Caenorhabditis elegans: one gene and its partners. The protein of the gene in region 1 purifies or fractionates together with the protein of each later gene. This does not show direct contact. Each region holds a gene or a part of one and is shown in the gene's direction. Other genes may lie near its edges. The genes, in order: kgb-1, ipp-5, try-14 and ppat-1.

Evidence for each region.
Region 2: the proteins of kgb-1 (region 1) and ipp-5 fractionate together in Caenorhabditis elegans (co-fractionation; one large-scale study listed by BioGRID). This does not show direct contact.
Region 3: the proteins of kgb-1 (region 1) and try-14 fractionate together in Caenorhabditis elegans (co-fractionation; one large-scale study listed by BioGRID). This does not show direct contact.
Region 4: the proteins of kgb-1 (region 1) and ppat-1 fractionate together in Caenorhabditis elegans (co-fractionation; one large-scale study listed by BioGRID). This does not show direct contact.

Annotation. Positions count from the first base shown.
Region 1 is NC_003282.8:405,116-411,746, reverse strand, and holds kgb-1 (GLH-binding kinase 1), read left to right. Parts: upstream 1-1,713; 5' UTR 1,714-1,790; intron 1,791-1,874; exon of another isoform or gene 1,875-1,985; intron 1,986-2,850; 5' UTR 2,851-2,860; coding exon 2,861-2,926; intron 2,927-2,969; coding exon 2,970-3,061; intron 3,062-3,711; coding exon 3,712-3,841; intron 3,842-3,884; coding exon 3,885-4,000; intron 4,001-4,708; coding exon 4,709-4,793; intron 4,794-4,842; coding exon 4,843-5,014; intron 5,015-5,183; coding exon 5,184-5,444; intron 5,445-5,490; coding exon 5,491-5,597; intron 5,598-5,655; coding exon 5,656-5,799; 3' UTR 5,800-6,126; downstream 6,127-6,631. UniProt on the Caenorhabditis elegans protein: Mitogen-activated protein kinase which is an essential component of the JNK pathway composed of mlk-1, mek-1 and kgb-1.
Region 2 is NC_003284.9:6,029,747-6,034,994, forward strand, and holds ipp-5 (putative type I inositol 1,4,5-trisphosphate 5-phosphatase), read left to right. Parts: upstream 1-1,722; 5' UTR 1,723-1,725; coding exon 1,726-1,818; intron 1,819-2,177; coding exon 2,178-2,357; intron 2,358-2,408; coding exon 2,409-2,635; intron 2,636-2,682; coding exon 2,683-2,746; intron 2,747-2,790; coding exon 2,791-2,934; intron 2,935-2,983; coding exon 2,984-3,165; intron 3,166-3,219; coding exon 3,220-3,532; intron 3,533-4,264; coding exon 4,265-4,291; 3' UTR 4,292-4,737; downstream 4,738-5,248. Other genes in the region: hsp-25 (SHSP domain-containing protein), read right to left, coding at 5,001-5,111, 5,234-5,248.
Region 3 is NC_003284.9:7,493,183-7,497,504, reverse strand, and holds try-14 (Peptidase S1 domain-containing protein), read left to right. Parts: upstream 1-1,913; 5' UTR 1,914-1,940; coding exon 1,941-2,039; intron 2,040-2,084; coding exon 2,085-2,191; intron 2,192-2,475; coding exon 2,476-2,602; intron 2,603-2,654; coding exon 2,655-2,799; intron 2,800-2,850; coding exon 2,851-2,966; intron 2,967-3,052; coding exon 3,053-3,145; intron 3,146-3,190; coding exon 3,191-3,244; intron 3,245-3,472; coding exon 3,473-3,571; 3' UTR 3,572-3,781; downstream 3,782-4,322. Other genes in the region: uggt-1 (UDP-Glucose Glycoprotein glucosylTransferase), read left to right, coding at 16-534, 587-1,331, 1,409-1,576.
Region 4 is NC_003281.10:4,687,655-4,692,720, forward strand, and holds ppat-1 (Amidophosphoribosyltransferase), read left to right. Parts: upstream 1-1,625; 5' UTR 1,626-1,690; coding exon 1,691-1,779; intron 1,780-1,979; exon of another isoform or gene 1,980-2,117; intron 2,118-2,403; coding exon 2,404-2,809; intron 2,810-2,855; coding exon 2,856-3,116; intron 3,117-3,351; coding exon 3,352-3,661; intron 3,662-3,709; coding exon 3,710-3,825; intron 3,826-4,120; coding exon 4,121-4,285; intron 4,286-4,329; coding exon 4,330-4,425; 3' UTR 4,426-4,517; downstream 4,518-5,066. Other genes in the region: tag-243 (Costars domain-containing protein), read right to left, coding at 527-556; nifk-1 (RRM domain-containing protein), read right to left, coding at 4,575-4,664, 4,709-5,066.

The DNA of each region.
Region 1 (6,631 bases):
GTTACGAAAATATTTCACAATTCTCGGAAGAAAACGAGATGATTGTGGTTATTGGGTAAGTGTTCAAAGAATATACATAGAAGTTCCAAATTTAAAGGTGGAGTAGCGTCTGTAAGTTTTTTGCCATAAATGACAGAATAGAGACCCAATATACTAAATATAACTGTTAAAAAATGTAGAAAATGTATGAAATTTTTCTAATTTTTTAATGATTTTTTTCTTAATTTTACAAAAATTTAAAAAAAAGGACTGAATTAAATTTGAACTCCCGCGCAAATGAGTGACGTCATTTTCGAAACTTTTGCGTTTTCAGCCTATATTAATAGGTTTTTCTTCATTTTTCCTTTGTTTTATAATTTGAAATACAGTCTGTCAATTTTTCAGACTAAAAGAAAATGTATGATTAATTTTGAATAATTAAGCCAATTTCAGAGTTTCGGTAAGTTTCTTCGCAATTATCAAGTTTGAAAAATGTTTGAAAAATTGAAAAATTATGTTTCAAATTATAAAACTAATTGTAAGAATAAAGAAAAACCAATTAGTTTGGCCGTAAAACACAAAATGTCGAGAATGACGCCATTAATTTGTGCGAGAATTCAAATTTAAATCGGCCTTTTTGAAAAAATCATAAAAAATTTATTATTATTTTTTGATTTTTTAACAGTTATATTTGGTAAATTGGGACTGTATTCTGTCATTTATGGCAAAAAAACCACTACTTCACCTTATAATTTAAAATTATCCAACTCACTATCTCTGTGTTTCATTTTAGCATCGAGTTATCACTTCCGATGACTAACAAATGGGAAATCTAAGGAATAATGCAGAGATTGAAAAGAATTAGAGAAACAAACAGACAAAATCAAGTATTATTTAACAATTGTAAAGAACAACCAAAAAACCCCACAGGAAAGACCACACAGAATGTGGACCCACGACTTTGGGAGATTAGGCACCTACGAGATTTCATGGCCCAAGTTAATTGGGTAGCGCTTTGAGTTGTCATAAATGTTAATAATTGAGAAAAAGATATTTAAAACTTAAAACGTACATATTAAACTTATTTCTTATAGAATTTACTTTCAAAGCTTTTATTATAGGCGGTCGATTTGTTCTACGGCAACTCTATTCTCCAAAACAGAGTGGTGTCTCTTTTCTGTCTGATTCTCTACTTCTCTACACATTTTCAATCCTAGGTGTGTCTCTCTCTGAAGGATGAAATCTCTATTTCTCTGCATCTCCTATTTGGCTTCAGCCTATCGCTTCTCTTCCGCACACAAACATTCACTCAGTGACGTAACTTTTAATACCTACACTATTTCTCTCTTTCGCATTGTCAACTTATATATATATATATGTATATAGATCATTCCTGTACTATTTAATTTTTAATTATAACTTTTTAAAAAGGTTATTTATGATTTAAAAAAAACAAAATCTAAAGTGTCTTTAAAGTGTAAAAGTAAAAATTGGCAGGCTGGGTATACTGCCTTTTTTCTTCAAGTTTTCGAATCTAAGTAAAAATAAAAAATTTCCCCTGCTTTTTTAATACAATTTTAGTTTGAATTTTACTTGTTGAGAATAATAGACTTCAATTATCTCGATGCAGTATTATGTATTTCACTAATAATTAACAGCAAATACCTCAAAATTACCCCGAACTCGAACTATTGCTAGAATAAACCATTCGAGTAACCCGTGTATTTATTGTAGAGTTCGTGAGAAAAGGATTAAAGGATTAAAGGACGATCCGTTCTTCAAGCGCTATGCACTGCGGATCTGGGAGTCAGGTACACTGCCTGGTGGTGATCCCACTAAAAAAGTAATTAGAGTATTATAGAAAAAATACGATCGCCCAAAAATAAACAACGGCGCAACGACACTCCGCTGTTTCTGAGACCCGCCCACGATTTCATTTGCACTGCGGCCGACACATTTCAGTGCAAATGAAATCTTGGGCGGGGTTTAGAAACGGTGGAGTGTCATTGCGTCGTTGTTTATTTTTGTACGATCGTATTTTTTCTATAATAAAGGTTTAAAAAAAAGAAACACACTATTGGATGTTACATTCCAGTCAACTTGATACCTAAAATATTTAAATTTTCCATTGAAATTAGTGTTGACTTTTGTTTCCTAAATACGAACATCCTTTCAAAACCAAGCGCAAAAAGTGTAAGATCATTCACAACTGAAGTCAAATTTTTGAAGTGTGAACATTTTTTGCGTCATGCAAATATGAAATATGAGTTTATGAGTCGATTAAAAAACATAAAAACCCAAACAAAAACGCTGAAATTTCATTAAATGTTAAAAAATGACTTCTTTATTACAAATCCAAAGTTATGATTAAACATTTAAAGATTAGCTGCAAAGATTATTTATTAAACTACATATCTTTCTATTTTTAGTCTATTTTTTAAACATTGTCAGGTTTAGTTTGCACTTCAAAAAATGAAAACTGTATTTCACTAACAATATGTACATATATCCCCTCCCTCATTTTTTTTCACTCCAGAAATGGAAAGTCAATATTTGGAAAGAAAATAATTTTCCAAACTGTTAGAATCTCCGTTTTTAAGATTTATTGATTTCTACGTGGGTTGAAATGACTCAGTTTTGATGAAACTCAACAATTTTAAGGCATTTTTATCAGTTCCGGTTGGAAAGGAAAATCAGAAACATTTTTGCAAGTGATAAGAATTATGAAATTTTTATAGATTTTTTCAAACGTTTATTTGGAAATTGAAATTATACTTTTAAAAATTTAAGAAAAGCTGAAATTTAATGACTAACGTTTATATTTAATTTTTGAATTTTAAGTATTTCTCCCTGAAACTAATAACTTTTTAGGCACAATAAGATGGAAGTGGATCTGCCGGTACATAACGAGTATGATGCGTCTAGATTTCATCAAGTTACAATTAGGGTTTGTTACTAGATACTTTACCTCCATTCAAATTCATTTTCAGGACCCGATAGCCGGCGCGGACAGCACTTTCACTATTCCAACTCGTTATGTAAACCTTAGTTTTCTGAATGCCGGCGCCCAAGGAACTGTCGTGTGAGTTTTTACTAATTACATTAATATTTTATTGAAGGAAAAATAATAGGGCGAATTTTTTAACGCAGTAAACAAAAAATTTCAATAGACAAACAAATATTAACACTTCAAAGATGTTAATCAAAGATTTGATAGATTGCCAAATTTTCGAATAATTTTTACTTTTTCAAACATTTCACACTTTACTGCAAATTATAGCCCCAATAATGTTCAAATACCAAAAGATAAAATAAATTTTTTGAAAGAACTATGAATTTTAGTCATTTTAGAAACATATGGCTGGTTTCAGAGAATCCTTTCTCTGGTCGTACTCCATCTTTGAATGTCTCACTGCCTTTCAATTGTATATTTTTACACTTTAACTTTTCTTCGGTTTTGCGTAATTTCAAACACTGACACAATGATGACTTCCCGAAAAAAAACGGACCGCCCTATCAAAAAACTTTTAAAACAGGTAGAGGTCTCGAGATCATTGTTATTCGTCATTGCCCGCTGCTCCACCTCTAAGATTGAAAAAGCTTGAAAAAATCAATAATCAAGAAGATCTTCTAGAAGAATGAAAGTGACTGAAATTAAATTATCGCGCAAATGACTTCAAACAGAATTTCTAAGTTAAGTGAACAGCCATAATTTTTATTGATTACATTTAGAATGGCCGATGACCTAGTAACAACGCAACGTGTGGCAATCAAGAAGATGCAACAACCATTTGTGATGACAATGAGCGCAAAGCGAGCATATCGAGAGTTTATACTGCTAACGACTATCAAACACCCAAATGTAAGATTCAGTTGGAATCTAGAAAAAATGCTCCAAATTTCAGATAATCCGTCTACTAAACGCGTTTACACCGGACACTTCACTTTCAACGTTCCGAGAAGTATATCTAGTTATGGAATTAATGACACACAATTTGCACGAGGTTATACATCGATTAAGGTAAGAGACATGGTGGCTGATTTTTATGATTTTTTTTCAGTAATACCAATTTTTATAGTAATATCTAGTATACTAGACGTAATTTAAACTGTATATGATGGACTTGTTAGAGACTAATAGACGTAAAATATTATTTTTCTGTTATTGATTTTGAGAACAAAAGAATAAAAATAAAACAATAGGAAAAGCACGATATCTTAAAGAAGGAGTGGCGGATTCATTTTTGCTCTAATAAACTCAGAACGACTCCAAAATATCAACCTTTTTTGTCTCAATTTCACGTTTAATAAACATATTCAACAATAATAATAAGTTTATTGCTGACACTTTTCAACAAAAAAAACTTTTAAAAAAAGAAAGAAACAAGGGCAAAAGCTAGACTTTCAATTTTGCCGTCTTTCGCGTTTCCCAAGGTCGGAAATACATTTTTATCCAACCTTGAGTACCCACTTGGAAATGTGCCGAAACCATCATCAAAACACGCACAGTTAGCTACCAGAACACGCGTAAAAAAATAAAAAAAATATTCCAGCGTGTTTTGAAAATTTTTGGTCAAGATTTTAGTTAACTACCAAAAATCAGAATTTTTAAAAAAGTTTAGAACACTTGCACATTTGAGCTCCTATTCATGATTGTTCAATGATTCAATGATTGAATATTGAATATAAACACATAATTAGATTCTAAAAAAATTTTCTGAATTATTAGATTGGACCATAAAACATTATCATTCTTCGTCTACCAGAGTTTGTGCGCAATCAAGCATCTTCACAATTCGGGAGTCATTCATCGTGTACGTATCTACCACTATAGACAACATTCTGAAAAATTCAAAGTTTCAGGACTTAAAACCATCGAATATTGTCGTCAACGATCGATGTGTATTAAAAGTTTTAGACTTTGGATTGGCCCGGAAGAAGAATGTGGACACATCGATGAGAATGTCAGATTATGTGGTGACAAGATACTACAGAGCCCCCGAAGTTATATTAGGTCTTCCCTATTCGGAAAAAGGTTTGTTCGAAAAAAAAAAAAATTTTTGTAATTTTGGGCTGGACTTCCATCTGCGCTCCGGTGAGCCGCCTCAAACAGCCTCACGCCGTACGTATCCGCATGTAAAGTGCGCGTAAAACCCCAAACGTGTCGGCCGCTTCCAAACAACACTCTCAATTCATAATTGCAGTAGATATTTGGTCAGTCGGATGTATATTTGCTGAAATGATCAACCATACCGTACTTTTCCCTGGAAAAGATCGAATTGATCAATGGACTAAAATTTATAGTGTTTTGGGAACACCAGATGATCATTTCATTAGTCAATTGGGTCAGTCAGCTGCTATGTATGTTCGATCGTTGCCACGTCATCAGGCACGAGCATTCAGTGAAATCGTTCCTGATACCAATTTTCTGCCGGAGACTGAAAATCCAAGGGTCCATTTGACACGTGAGTCAGGCTATACAGGATTTTGAAAAATAAATCATATTTTCAGCACACGTGGCTCGTGATCTCCTGTTCAATATGTTGAAAATCAATCCTGAAGAAAGGTATTCAGTTGAAGATGCACTGAATCATCCATATGTTAAGTTGTGGTTTAAGGTACAACAATTTTAGCACTAAACAAAAACAATCAAATCATGCATCTCAAATCTTACAGGACGATGAGGTAAACGCCCCCGCATCAGAAAATCGATACGATCAGGAAATTGATTTTGCCGATAAGACACTTATTGAATGGAAAGAGCTAATTTTCAACGAAGTGCAACGCTATCAAGCCGACCACGACATTTTCACTGGATAATAAATAATAAAAAACCTAAAATTGTTTCTTTTTCTCTCAAAAATAATTGTGTTACTTTTTTCTTCAAAAATCTATCTTTCAGTTGTGTTCTGTCACTTAGTTGGCCATATTTTCTGGTGATTCTCTGCTTATTTTCTATATTGATTATAATCACTAAATGTTAATTATTTTGGAATACAGATTTTTTGGAACTGTTTTGTTTTAAGTATAAGAAATTGAACCTTAGCTCCACAAAATTTGCATCTCATTATAAAGTAGGGATTGTTTTTCGATTGTATTGTCAGGTTTAAATTCAAAATTCTAAATCAATAAATTAATTTTTTAGGGACCAGGTCCCCTATGAGGTCGCCACAGCGGCGCCCGCGCCGGCCTCACAGCGTCAATCACAGTGCATGTATCCGAATATATAGTGCGGCAGGGAACCCGATCGTGAAGTCCGCGCCTCACTTAGCTGGGAGACCTATAGGTTTTTTTTCTTCAAAACGATGCTTTAATTTTTGTTCTCAAAAACAAAATGAAGCCAAAATGGGAATCCAGAACGACCGGACATTAAATCACACAGATGGACAATGGTGGTCTTGAATAAGTACATTTATTTCACAAAAATTGAACATTCAGTAAAAGATGAGGTTTGAAGACTGAAAAGTGGGCTGGACAACAGAAAATCGACTTTTGGGTAGTAAAAGATTTTTGATATAAAGATGGGAAATAAAGTATATGGACATTTGGACAAAAAGAGAAACAGAGACGCCTTGAAATGTTTTCAAATGATTCTTTTAGTATTCTATTCTAGAATTAAGAAAAGCGGATGGAAAATATTTTTTTGGAATCT
Region 2 (5,248 bases), on another chromosome or scaffold:
CCCCACTTTTTTAATGTAGAAAAAATTAATAGCTCAAAAGTAGCAAGTGAACAGTTTGCCTGATTAAACATCTGTTTTTATCAAAAATACAATTTAAAGTTTTAATTTAAATTTTAAAAAATATTTATTATTAAACAAAATTCTAAAAAGTTTTTTTTTCACAAAGCTAGTAAATGTTCAGAATTATTTTTTCCCTTCTTGTAAACTGGCAAATTTTTAATACTGAAATATACCGCAAAAACCTGAAACTCAGAAATGTTCTTAATGGAAACCTGAACAGCTTGCTAATTAAAATACATATTTTTGGCCAATTGATGTTGGCTATTAACCCTTACACTTTTTTCTAAGAAATAACAAGTGTTTTGTCCGTTGACAATTTTACAATAAATCCAACGAGGAAATACTAAAAAAAGTTCAATTTAACATTTAACCATTCAATGACGTTTTTTTTGTTTGAAACCTTAAGTGGATGTTGCTCTTGAGAAAGAAGAGCCCATCGAAATCTAGAATAAGCTCAAATTCTCATAAAAAACGAGACGTCTACTGCCTTGCACAAGATTATCGAATTGCTGGAGGGAAACCTCACAATACGACAAACCGAGATGTTGACAATTTTGTCATCCGAGCAAAAAAAAAAGAGGGAAAAATGCCATCAAATATTTGCCACTTGGCGCTCGACTCGTTAAACATTGTTTAATTTTTTTTCAAAAAATGTTCGAACTTTCATTGACCCATTTTCAAAACTTTAATTTTCTTAAGGAACAATATAAATTTAATTTTTCTACCAAGTGTGTAGAAATGTGATGCTGGGAGAAATCGAAAATTCAAATCATGTGTTGTTGTTCTTTCTTCTCATGCCGAGCAGCTTGCAATTTTCGGGCGAAAGCCCTCTCCACTTTTTCTCTAAAACTATTCGCTTTTTCTCTATATATGTAGCTCGTGCTCATGCATAATTTCGTCGTGTGTCGATTTTGTTTTCCGACGTTTTTGCACTCCGAGTTAAGTCACTAAGCTCCCAAGTTAATTTGTTTTTGATATAACCTTTTGAATAAAGACAATTTAAATTCTAAAAAAACTGAAAAAAAAACCGAAAAAAGAAACAACTAAGTTAGCAGTAAATTGGATTCTGTCATTTCAATTTACATTGTTGTTGGTTTAGTTGCATTCCAGTACGAAAAAAAAGGCGGCAAGACGCAATTTATTTCTAGGAGGTTTTGAATTTTGACCTGGGCCCGCCTCAATACCCGAAACCCGTTTTTCAAAGAGGTTTCCTTACAAGGTAGAAATATATCATTACACATCGTCCTTGGGCAATGCTATTCGTTTGTTTGCGGATAGAATTTTTTACTATTTTCAAGCAACTTAATTTCATTAGAAAAAAAAGTAAGTCAATTGATTTACAGATAATTTGAATGATTGACATTTTGTTCCTTGTTTAGCATTTTCTCACTAAAATTACTGAGCATTATTCAATAAAAAGTTTCTGCAGCACTCACTGAATGCACAATTCATCAAAGAGCAAACACAATAGCGTGCATTTATATCTTTTGTTTTTATCCATCTCAATGAATTCCTTTCCGTTTTGAAATTAAATCTCGCTGTCACATATTGCACATCCCACAACCCTAACTTCGTTTTATTGTTATATAACTTTCTCGTTTTCTCTTGCTCAAGCTCTTGTTCTAAACACTCGACTTTTCAATCGAACTGTTACTATTGTAGAAAATGGTTCAATATTTGCTGATAACGGCGAACGTCGGATCGCTGTTCGAGCCGGATGCTCGGTTGCACACTTCATGGATTAAAACTGTTGCGGATGTATGTTTAAATATTTTTGCAGTATTAAATTTAATAGTTCATAGCGAACTCACGCAATGTCTCATAGTCAGATTTTTGGTTCAGAATTACATAGTTTTTTACAAATGAATTAGTCCTATGTTTTGCGAATGTGATTTATTAATTCAAATACAAGTGTGAAAGCCAAAATTATTGAATTACATTTGAATTGGCTCCATCGATATTTTGGTTATTTAGTAACATTTTCGCATTGATGCTTCTTTTACTTGACCCTTACCGTCAGTACTTTCCTGATACGATTTTCTTAAAAATATGTTTCCAAGAAACATTGAAATTACTCAAGTAATAAATTTGATACAAGTAATTTTTAAAATTTTTAGCAAGTTGAAAGTGTTGACCCATCGTTCTTTGTCATACATCTTCAAGAAACCGGAGGAAAAAAATTTACTGAATGCTCACAGCAAGTCCCAATTATCATCAATCGTCTCTCCACAGCACTACCAAAATTTGATCTGCTCAGAGCATACGTTGACATCGATTATGAAGCTATTGAGTACACAGTAAGAATGACAATAAAATCGTTGTTTCTGAAAATTTATTCTTTGTTTCAGGCTCTTGGAGCATTGTGCTTTATAAAAAGATCCTTGTGGTCGAACGTTTCTCAATTCAACTTTCACACAAAGAAATACGAACAATTGACAAGCCCGAAGGAAGTAGTGACTCATGGGCTGGAAAACTACCCATACGTCGTCAAACACAAGTTTCCTAAAGATTTTTGGCCTTCTATCAAATGGGGACGTAAAGGATACATGCAAACAAGGTGGAAAATTGAAAACAAGTTAGTCCCAGTTTTCTTTTTTTTTTTTTAGTAAATTCCTTTTTCAGAGTTTTCGATTTTGTTAACGCACATCTCTTTCACGACGAATCTAACTTGGCCCTTATTCATGAGGTTTGTTTGAAAGAAAATGTTCAGAGCATATAAGGTGTTTTCAGAACCCACAACTATACAGCCAAAACCGGAAACGAGCACTTGACTTTGTGCTCGCCGAGCTTTCGTCAAAGGAAAACGGGTGCACGCCTCTGCTCTTTGTTTTTGGTGATCTCAATTTTAGGCTGGACTCTCGTTCTTTCTTAAACGTAATGGGTGACAAATTGCTAATTGGAAAACAAATAAAGATGTTTTCAGCGCTTAACTGAACGTACTGCTCAACATCCAGTCGCCGACCAAGAGCAGATGGGCTCCCTGGCCGATGGTCTTCAGGCTTCGGCTGCAAATCTTCAAGTAATCACCCACCCATCCGAAAATTTGAGGAGGACAGTTTCGGCTATTGAGTTCCGCAGAGAATCGGATAGCGATGATAGTCAAAAGTATGATTATTGAAAGTACAAACTTAAACAAGAACCAAAGAATTAAAATTTCAGCAGTTGTGTTCTACGGATCGAAAAAAAGAAATTTGACTATTTCAATCACAAAAAACTACTGGACGACTGGCGATCGTACAGAGATGACGACAAAGAAACCGAAAACTTTCAGAGCATGTTTGAGATGCATATAAATTTCCCTCCAACATACCCGTGGAGTGAAGATCCAGAAAATTCCGAAACTCTGATGAAGACTAGGGCACCCGCATGGTGTGATCGGGTTCTGATGAATAAAAATGCATACTCGTTGGTGGAAGAAGGAGAGCCTCAGTATAGGTCATTTGGAATGGAAACTTGTACTGGAGATCATAAGGTAATATTCTAATTTTTGGAATATTTTTATTAAAATACTATATTTAACAATGACATAATTTAGTGTAGTTTTATGTAGTGAGAGACAAATATCTTTTTTTAACAGATTTTTTGGTTTTTTTTTAACTCAGATTTTATAATTAAAAAAAATGCTTTGAAAAGGTTTTGAAAATCTTCACAAATGATTGAAACTTCTCAAATTAACTCATTTTTATTCAAGATTTGTCAGTTTGTCGTTGACTAGTTGACTAGAAAACGTTGACTGGAAGCTGTGAAAAAGAAATGGGAAAATTCATGTCAAATTTTTATTAAGAATTCGAGTGAATTTAATTTGATATTATATTCAGACTATTTTCAACAACTTGTTGTTGCTATAAAAATAATTCCTTAAAAAAACTTTATTTAAAAAATTTGAAATTTTTTTTTAAACAGTATATCAAAATAGCTTGAACAGCATTAAATAATACTATTTTTAAACTTTTTCAAAGAATTATTCAGAATTACAAAATAAAAGTTAACTTGTGTTCAAATTGAAAACAACTTTCCTGAATACTTGAATATCAAAAAAAAACATGTTTTAAATATAATTTTGAATAGCTTTATGATGATTACATTGGATTAATATGTTAAAAAAAAACTACACTAAGACCTCGTTTTAGTTTTTATTTTAAATAATCTTTTGAATTCTAAAACTCTTTAATCAACAAAAAAATTTGAATTATTATTTTTTCAGCCGGTCATGCTAACATTCAACATCTGACATGGTTTTCCATTTTCCCTCATTTTGGCCAGCCTCCATTTTTCTTTTTTTTTTTCTTCATCTCGAAGCTACGGATAAACATTTTCAAATTGGCTTGCGCGAACTCTGAGTTTCGAATACCTACTTTTTGTTCTCGTTGTTACTATCAATTTTCAAACTCTATCAAAATTCCATTTTTTCCCAGTTCGCTTTTTTCCGCTAGAAAATTTATTTTTTCATTGAATGATCAGAAACGTGTTTCTTTTCTTTTTTCTTTTTATTTTCATATAATGCACGGGGAACTCTTTAACTTTTTAAAACAATTTTTATCATAATCGATTTTTTGTTTCTTTTTCTCTCCATTTTCAGTGATGTATTGCTAGTCTTATACACTTTTTGCTTTGCCTGACACTTTCCATCAGTATCAATCAATTGTTAAAACGAATCATTTGATAAAATTGCGATCTTATTATAGATTTAATGAAAAGATGAACATTTACTCCAGAAAATTGATGAACAACCAATAAGATTTGTAGGTATTAAATGTATTGAAAAATGAAGCGGATTGAATTGGAAAATGAATCGTAAACATGTTTAAAGAAAGGATTATGGTTGAGTCTACAAGTTTTAATGATTTACACTACAAGAAAAAGTTGATTTATTAGAAAAATGTAAAGTTTTTGTTGCGTTATTCGGGTTGGTGAGGAAGCAGGCGGCGATATTTTTGGTTTCATTGCTGGATTGCCAATTGTGGGAGTGGAGCCTCGACAGTGAGCACGCCATCAGTCGAAAGAGTCGATGAGATTTGTTCTGGGTTGGTGCCTCTTGGAAGAAGGAATTCCTGGAAATTTGATTGTATAGATTAATGCAACTGAATGAAGAGTGACACCTTGGGGCCTCGCTCCATATTTTTAGCCCCAAGAGAACTGTTTGAATTCTAAAATAAAAATAAAAAACACCCACCTGGTTGTACTCTCT
Region 3 (4,322 bases), on another chromosome or scaffold:
ATTTCACAATTTCAGGTTCGATAATCTTCCCAGTAAGCAACTTCTGACACTTTCGCTGCAAGCTCCCGACTCATGGATAGTGGAAGCCGTTTCTGCCAAGTATGATTTGGATAACATCAAGATGGAACAAGCCAACGGAGATGTCACTGCCGAGTTTGCACTCCAACACTTACTTCTCGATGGACAGTGTTTCGACGAAGTTAGTGGTCAACCACCACGCGGTCTGCAGTTCACTTTGGGAACGGACAAGAACCCTAAACAATTTGATACAATCGTTATGGCTAATTTAGGATATTTCCAACTTAAAGCAAATCCTGGTGCTTGGAAACTAGAGATCCGTGATGGAAAATCTAGTGAGATTTACAAGATTGGATCGCATGTTGGAGCGGAGAAGATTGGGGAGGATGTGCTTCAAGTTGTTATTGACTCATTCACTGGTAAATCAGTAAGAGTTCGTGTTGAAAAACGTGAAGGCATGGAGGAGAGAAATCTTCTTTCCGACGATGAAGAAGGTGTTTGGAGCAGTCTTAGCAAGTAAGCATTTTGTTTAAACTCTTTTGAAATAATCTCATAATGTTATTTTCAGCTTGGTGAGCAGCAAAGAAAAAACCCAGGAAGTGATCAATGTATTTTCTCTCGCATCCGGTCACTTGTACGAACGGTTCATGAGAATCATGATTGTCTCGGTCATGAAGAACACGAAGCATCCAGTTAAATTCTGGCTTCTCAAGAACTACCTGTCGCCACAATTCAAAGAGACACTTCCAACTCTTGCCAAGCACTATGGTTTCGAGTATGAACTGATCGAGTACAAGTGGCCAAGGTGGCTTCACCAGCAGAAGGAGAAACAACGTATTATGTGGGGATTCAAGATTCTTTTCCTTGATGTACTCTTCCCACTTGATGTTCAAAAGGTGATCTTTGTGGACGCTGACCAGGTGGTGCGTGCTGATTTGATGGAGCTGATGAAGTTTGATCTTGGAAATGCGCCATACGGATATGTGCCATTCTGTGAAAGTAGAAAGGAGATGGACGGATTCCGATTCTGGAAGCAAGGATATTGGGCGAACCATCTCGCTGGGAGAAGATATCACATTAGTGCTCTCTACGTTATTGATCTTCAAAAGTTCCGTCAAATCGCTGCCGGAGATCGTCTTCGTGGACAATATCAAGGACTATCTGGCGATCCAAACAGTCTGGCTAACTTGGATCAAGACTTGCCAAATAACATGATCCATCAGGTTAAGATCAAATCGCTTCCACAAGAGTGGCTTTGGTGTGAGACTTGGTGCGATGATGGAAGCAAGAAGAATGCAAAGACTATTGACTTGGTAAGTTGATTGAACACAACTGAAATGCTGTGCCATTGATCTGTTTTAAATTTCCGTGAACAATTAACAATTTTCAGTGCAACAACCCGCTCACAAAAGAGCCAAAGCTCGACTCAGCCGCCAGAATTATTGGAGAATGGAAAACGTATGATGACGAAATCCGGGAAGTCATTTCTGGACATTCTTCTGATAACCCTTCGGATAATGTCATTTCTGAAAATGATGACTCTCACACGGAACTTTAAATTAATCTTTTCATATGCCAAGTTTACCCGTTATTTATTGAAAATGTTTCCAATCACCATTATGATATTCAAAACTCTGGGTATATTTTTTTCCAAATCAGTCGATTCGCTTTTTCTGCTATTTATTTTTTAGCTTTTGACTATGAGAGCTTTCAAAATTTCATTTTCAAATATTGTCAAACTTGTGATGAATCTTTGAAACATTTTTTTGCCTCTCTCTATCCAATAAATATTTTCTTTTTCTTGATGTGTGGGTGTATTAAAGAATGCATTTGCTTGATTTTTCTGAAAGCGGATATTACAACAATATCAATGCGATGCTCGTCGGGTCAAATCCTCATTCGAATCATTTGATCGAAAGAAGATGTTTCGAGCGGTCATCGTTTCCTCTCTACTTGCATTCGTGTTTTCAATGTACATTGCGGACCCGGCAAAATGGGAACGCCATCAGTACTTGGTGAAGGTAAGACTTGCTCAACTCGCTTCGAATTTTATGTTTTATGTTCAGGTACTCACTAAGGATACCAAACTGAAGAATATCTCAACTTGCACGGGAACTCTTTTGTCTCCATCCGTTGTGCTAACCAGCTCGAAATGTTTCCCAGACACCAGAAAGTATGGTTTCAAATTTTTAAATATTCCCGTAGCAAAATAAGAAGCTTACGAACGAACATAGCGCATTATAGTCTCTTACATTTTACACTTTTTCTGCTCTGAATTCGACTACGCAAAAGATTCGTGAATTGGCTTGTTGTGCGGAATGTGCTGACAATTTTCGATTGAAAACTTAGACGAAACTATGCCAGAGATAGTTTATAGAAATATATGTATAGCAACTGTTGGTTTAGAAGAAACGCTGAAATGGATTTTTATTTGAAGGCAATTTAATATTTATTTAGGAACCTTATTGCACAAGCTATTATCAAAAAGAAGGATTCCTCTGCTACCATGAACAAAGCAATGCTTGCTGTGAAAATTGACGGCGACTTGGCTCTGATGAAAATCGATGCGGTTAATGAAGATCATGTAAAAAAGACTCTAGTATTTGCAACTCTTATTAGAGAAATTATTTTTATAGTTTTGCGATAAGGAGCCACACCCACCAAGAGTTGCACGGCTCAACTTCAAACCAAGCTTGACTGATGCTACTTACCGTACAATTGTGCCAAGGGATCTTCAAGATTCCAAATGTAGAGTGATTGGATTTGAAACTACGGAAGATGGTTCGTAACTACAAAACTATGTAGCTACTAAATAAGTTATTATATTTTTAGTGGAAGACTTCGCTACTTCACACAAAGTCCAAGTATTGGATCTTGATGTTCACGCTGACACAGAAAATCTCATGTTCTCAGAAGTTAACAGTAACTCTACAGGTCGTGTTTGCTGGGTAAGCGTTTTTGTTGTTTTTTGGAAATACACACTTTCAAACTTTGCATTACTTAGTTTTTATAAAAAGTAATTGTTCAAATTCAGGATGATATAGGAGCACCACTGGAATGTGTTCTGGATGTAGAAAACAATAAATATGTTCAAGTAGGAATTGTTTCTGGTCTCTACGGGCGTGAGGTAGGCTTATCGCTTATTTTGTCTTTAAACTTATGATTTTTATAGATGGACAAGGAAGACAACAGCACAATGGTGGTTGTCAACTGCTCAGAAGTTCAGGTAAAATCAACGAGCAATTATTCTGAATACATTACGTAATAGAAATTCTTTATAAAAAACCGCATTTTGTAGTGTTGAGAATCTTATCAGACAACAAAATACGCCGGTGATTGATTTCTCATCTTTTGGACTTTCGGGAGGAAATATGAGATTAAAAGAAACGGGGGGCAAGGGGCAAAGTAAATAATCTTCTCCATTATGTGGATTTCCAATATTATCAATTTCCAGACCATGCAATTTGTTGTCTTTAGCGACAATACATTTGTCCATGCTATTGAGAATGTGGACAAGGCTAGCGTTTTTGAAGCACAGGACAAATGCTTCTAATTTAAATTCCACTTTTTCATTCTTCATTCCCTTTGAAATAAATGTTTTTATGATGCAATAAACACTTGTTGGTCCCTTATAACGTATTGATTTTCGTGTGCACATTTTGTGTTTGCTCTGTACTTCTATTCTTACGTTTGCATCTTTCATTCTATCCTTTGGTTTCAATTAAAATTGTTGCAAAAACCTAAATGAACATCGGTCTTTTTCAAGAATCTTTTAGTGTAATAATTGTGTTTGAAAATCAATCAGATGTTTGTTGCAGAAAAAATGAAAAAGAAACATTCTATTTTTTTGAAACAACGAACTTCTCATTACTTCGAATGTTTTATATTTCGGTACTTGTGTAGTACATACCTAGCCCAAAAATGTTAACCATTTTGAAAATGTGTCCGTGACCCTTTGTGTTCATATTATCCTCGGGATCAGTGTTTTTTGAGCATGGAAATACAAATCAATTTCAGTTTTTAATTAAATAATTGTTTTATAAAGAAATGAACGGAAAATGTATTGCAAAATGTTTTTGAACCTGGTATACTTCACAATTACCAAAATTTTACCCAAAAAACTAAGTAAACGTAGAAAATAAATAAGTGTTTAGCTTATTCTAATTAATGAGTTGTCTGTTCAAAAATTCTTTGAAGCCGTGCGTTTTGATGTCTGCTCTTTTGAACTCTATGCTACAACTATACACGTTCTGTGTTGCCATAGAAAATGAATTTCCCATTGGTTTCGCCCATTTCCTCAGCTT
Region 4 (5,066 bases), on another chromosome or scaffold:
ATTTATTACGCGCATCTAGTCTGAAACTATGTGCACACCAGTAGGCCAGTAGGCAGATATCGGGTTGAAAACAGCGAGGAAGGCTGTCGGGTGAACTTGTCCGCCTGATTTGGACTACTTTTTTTTTAAAGCAGAGCTAGAGAAATTATAATAAAATTCAAGAAAAATGTATAGACCTAACAAATGGGAAATCAAGCGTCGGAAAAATTTAAGAAACCACTATTGATGAAACCCATAGCAAAGATTTTTGCGGCAAGGAAGCATAGAATTTAAAAAAAAATTTAAAAACTACTTCTAAACTAGAATACTTTTCCCATTAATATGAGTGGTTGAATCTTGATTAAATATGTGACATATAAGTCACCACAAAATTGAGCAAATACTCAAAACTACTTAATAGTTTTGTGAGTCACTTTTATAAACGTTCAAAACTTTCTTCAAAAATAATTTTCAAGTTCACCTATGTACCTTTAATATTTTCTAATTTACAAAAATCTAAACGAATATAAAAATGGATTAAACTTACATTTTGTTCTTCCACTGATTGACTTGGCATTTTCTTGAGCAACTTCTTTTTTCAGTAAAACAAATTTCAGATATGTGTGCTTAACTTTCAAAAGATATATCCTTGACTGTCTCCTTATTTTTTGAGCAATTTTGATAAGTTTAGCCAAAAAGTAAGTGGGCGCTCATTTTCGCGACAATCTTTGCTGTCTGCGTCTCTTCGTCTCACGTGCAATTTCGCTGTTCAAATATAAAACAATGCACACACATACAGAAAGGCTATTTTTGACAGGGAGCTCAAGTAAAATGGAGAAAAGCGAAGTTGTTCGGAAATTTTTTGAAATTCAAAAACCTAATGTCAACTTGTAAATACAACTGGGTGGTCAATGTTCAATAACAAACAGAGGGATATTTTGATTTTTGAATTGTGTTGGAATTTCAAAGAACGAAAACCATTTTACCAATTCAGATATTAACAGGAAAGTATGTAAAGAATATTTTCGAAGTCCATATTGACAGTTGATAACTGTTGACGTGGGTGAACCTGACCAAGCACATACATCCGCAAAGTTGGGACGGACGGGCTCTACGGAGTCCAAGTGACAACAATATCTACTTTCTAGACACAACATGACACTCTAAAAAAATCTGCTCAAATAAATTGAAGTTGGCAGAAAAAAAAAAATTTTACAGAAAAATGTTGTCAGAAAGTTGCAAAAGTTTGATAACATACTCACAAACCTTTTTCAAACAGGAATTTCATTAGATTCAGTATTACATTTTAAAATTAAACTCTCCAGATTTCCATGCATCTGCTGCGAAAGTAAATTACAGATTCTGAAAGCCGAAGATTTTAGCTCTCGCGCCAGGTTAAGTTTTATTTCATTCACATCTTATAGTTATCGTATTCCCGAGCAACGTGTTTATTTTCAATTAAACCTAAAAACTCCTTTTAAAATCAAACTTCAATTAGACATTCACTTGTTCTTATCAGCGGAAAAAGTTCAAAAACCTGGCTCTATCGACAGAAGTGAACTTTTCCATGAAAAATAGGCAATAACTTTAAAAACATAGCAGGTGGAGGGTGTAAAGGTTTTATGATTGGCGTATCAAACATTCAGAGCATCGAAAAAGATAATAACATGCACATTAGGCAATTGATTTCTGACGACGATCACACCGAACAATGTGTGGTATATTTGGGATTGTTGCCGCTGGAAATTATGAGCATTTGAATGTTCTTGCTGCAAATGGATTGGCTGCTCTTCAACACAGGTGGGGTTTTAAGTTTAAATTTTTAATAAGCTCTGTCTCAAAAAGTTTGATTTCATACATCTCCTACATTGGTTTCAGTTTGAATTTTTAACTGTTCAGCTCCTCATTCCTAAATATCTAATTTTTCAAAAAGCTCTCGTTTTCTCTTCCCGTTCATTCCGCTTCTGCTTAACTTAAGCCATCGTTCCACAAGAAGGCAAAAGTGTAAACTCCCTAATTGTATCCGAGCCAGTTTAGTCTGACTAGACGTCAATGGAGAAGTTATCAATTTTGCGTCAGAAATACGCTGAATCGCCAACATTAGAATCACGTTGCCAATTGGATGAAAATGACGCGTATGTAGAGATTGAACTGGCGTCTCGTGGGTCACAGCAAACAGCGCTAACCACTCGGACACACGACCAATAAAGTGCTTGTAGCGTTGCAGTGGTTGACATTGTTGCAAACAAGTAGATTGTGCAGTGATTTTGAGTTTGCAAAAAATCGAAATAGCTAAATGAATAAGTCTAGCATTTCTTGCAAATATTGTCTAGTTTCTAAATTGTTTTCCGTGCGTGATAGAAAAATAAAATACTAAAACAAATTAGTTGCAAATTTGCAATTCTTATCATGTATATTTTGCAGAGGAACTGAATCAACAGGACTCGTTGGTTCAGATGGAATCACTCGAGACCACGTGGAAATTATCAAAGGTCATGGACTTGTCCGAGATGTGATTACTGAAGATAATATCTCAAGAATGAATGGGCAATCGATAATAATTGGTCATAATAGGTATTCAACTGCAGGAAAGAAGAAGTCTGGAATCAATTGTGTACAACCATTTGTGGTATATACTGCAATGGGTACTGTAGCAATTGCTCATAATGGAGAATTGGTTGATGCGAAACAAAAAAGAAAGGAAGTACTTCATGAAGGTGTTGGTTTATCAACTGACACTGACTCAGAGCTTATTGCTCAAATGATTGCAAAAGCGATTGCTCTGAATGTAAAATGCAAGTATGGACAAGAGATGGGTGATATTACAAGAGTGAGTTTTTGAAAAACATGAAAATTCTTAAACCAAAAAACTTCAGGAGCTCGCAGTAACAATGTCTGCACTAAACATGTCATATTCTCTACTAGTAATGACATTTGATAGACTATACGCAATTCGTGATCCATTTGGAAATCGTCCACTTTGTGTTGGTACTGTATATTCTAAAAATGGAAATCCAGAAGCATTCATTGCATCTTCTGAATCTTGTGCATTTCCTGCAAATGCTAAATTAGATTTCGAAGTGAGACCAGGAGAAATTGTGGAATTATCGACAGGAGGAATCAAGTCGGTGTGGCAGGTAAACTTACATATATCTTGGCCTGCCTACGCGCCTACCTACCGCCTTCTCTGACCTCATTTTCTCATGTATGTATTTTGTTAGACATTAAAATTTAAAAAAGTGTTTTTAAAGTTTTGCAAATACATGTAGTTTTTAGACTTTCTGGTTATTTTTGGTATTTTCCAAAATTACAATCGAGACAGATGGGCTATGCTGAAAAATCAGAAACCTGGAATTATATGAGTCATTTCAGATGAAACCGAATACTCCTCTGGCTATGTGCATATTCGAATATGTCTATTTTGCACGAAATGATTCAGAAATTGAAGGACAACAAGTACAAACTGTTCGTGAAGAATGTGGAAAAACGATGGCTCTTGAAGATGATCTAGAAGCAGATATTGTTGGAAATGTTCCAGATTCTTCGCTGAGTGCAGCAATTGGATACGCTTCTCAGTCTGGAATCACATATGAACCTGTTTTACACAGAAATTCATATGTTGGAAGATCATTTATAGAACCAAATGATGAGATGAGACAAAATGCGATTAAAATGAAATTTGGTAAAATAAAGAAAACTATTTAGAAAGACTTCATGAATTCTATTTCAGGAGTATTGAAGAAAAAGATTCATGGACAAAGGATTGTGTTAGTAGATGATTCAATTGTACGTGGAAATACGATGAGAACTTTGGTAAAAATGTTAAGAGATGCTGGAGCAAAAGAGGTATTACCCTTGTTGTTAAAAATAATGATTTTTCACCTTATAAACCGTGAAAAAGGTCTTGACACGAGCAAAAATTTTCAGCTACCGTATAACGCGAGTAATTCTCCGTTTTTGCAGATTTTTCCAATACATATATTTGTTGTAAAACTGTGCATCTAGATGTTCAGCAAATATTAAGAAAACAATAGCGGAATACATAAAAACGAGAAACTGGAGTATACGGTAGAGTACGGTATCTTAGAAATTTCGATCGTGTCAAGACCGCATTATTCAAATAATACCTCTAAATTTAAAGGTTCATCTACGAATTGCTTCCCCGCCTGTAAAATTCCCATGTTTTATGGGAATCAACATTCCAACCACAAAGGAATTGATTGCTGCCGAAAAAACAATTCCAGAAATCTGCCAATTTGTTGGAGCCGATTCAGTACGGTATCTTTCGGTTGACGGTTTAGTTTCGGTGAGTTTGAACCTCACTTTCTCCTCAATTTAATTTTTTTTCAGTCTGTTCAAAAAGGAATCGAACGAGCTGCCAACTTCTCTCCAGGACATTGCACCGCATGTCTCACTGGAAAATATCCAGTTGCTATCGATTTATAATTAGTGTTTGAAAAGTTTGAATAGATTATTTGTATTCATGAAAAACAAAATCAATTCAATTAAAAATCAACAATGAATGTGTATAAAAATAAGAACAACAACAGTTTGCGGAAAAAAAATAAAATGATTAACAACAGAAATCAGGACGCTTACAAGCTCTTCTTCTTTCCACGAGATCTCAATGTTTTCTTTTCGACAGCAGCTGGACGGGCACTTGCAGCGACGGATTTGAGGATTGTCTGGAAAATTAATATAACCAAATTTTATTTAAAGTTTTTCGTACGTTGGATAGCGTAGATTTAGCCTGTGGAGTAGCAGCAGCAGCTGCCTTCTTTCCTGCGCGAGTTTTTGGAGTGAACTGTTTGGGTTCCGGCTTTTCAGTTTTAGGAGTCTTGATGACAACCTTTTTGGTGACTGGAGTGGAAACTTTCGGAGTTGCTTGTTTTGGAGTCACGGCCTTTGGAGTAGCTGCTTTTGGAGTTGCAGCTTTCACAATTTTCGGAGTCGTGCTTTTCGGGGTGACATCACTGATAAATTGAACCTCATTGTCAATGACCTTCTTAAGTGGCGTTCTTGGTGTTCCAGACACAGAGAAATCATAGTTGATCCCCATATTCTGCAGCTTCTTCAAAGTTTTGTTG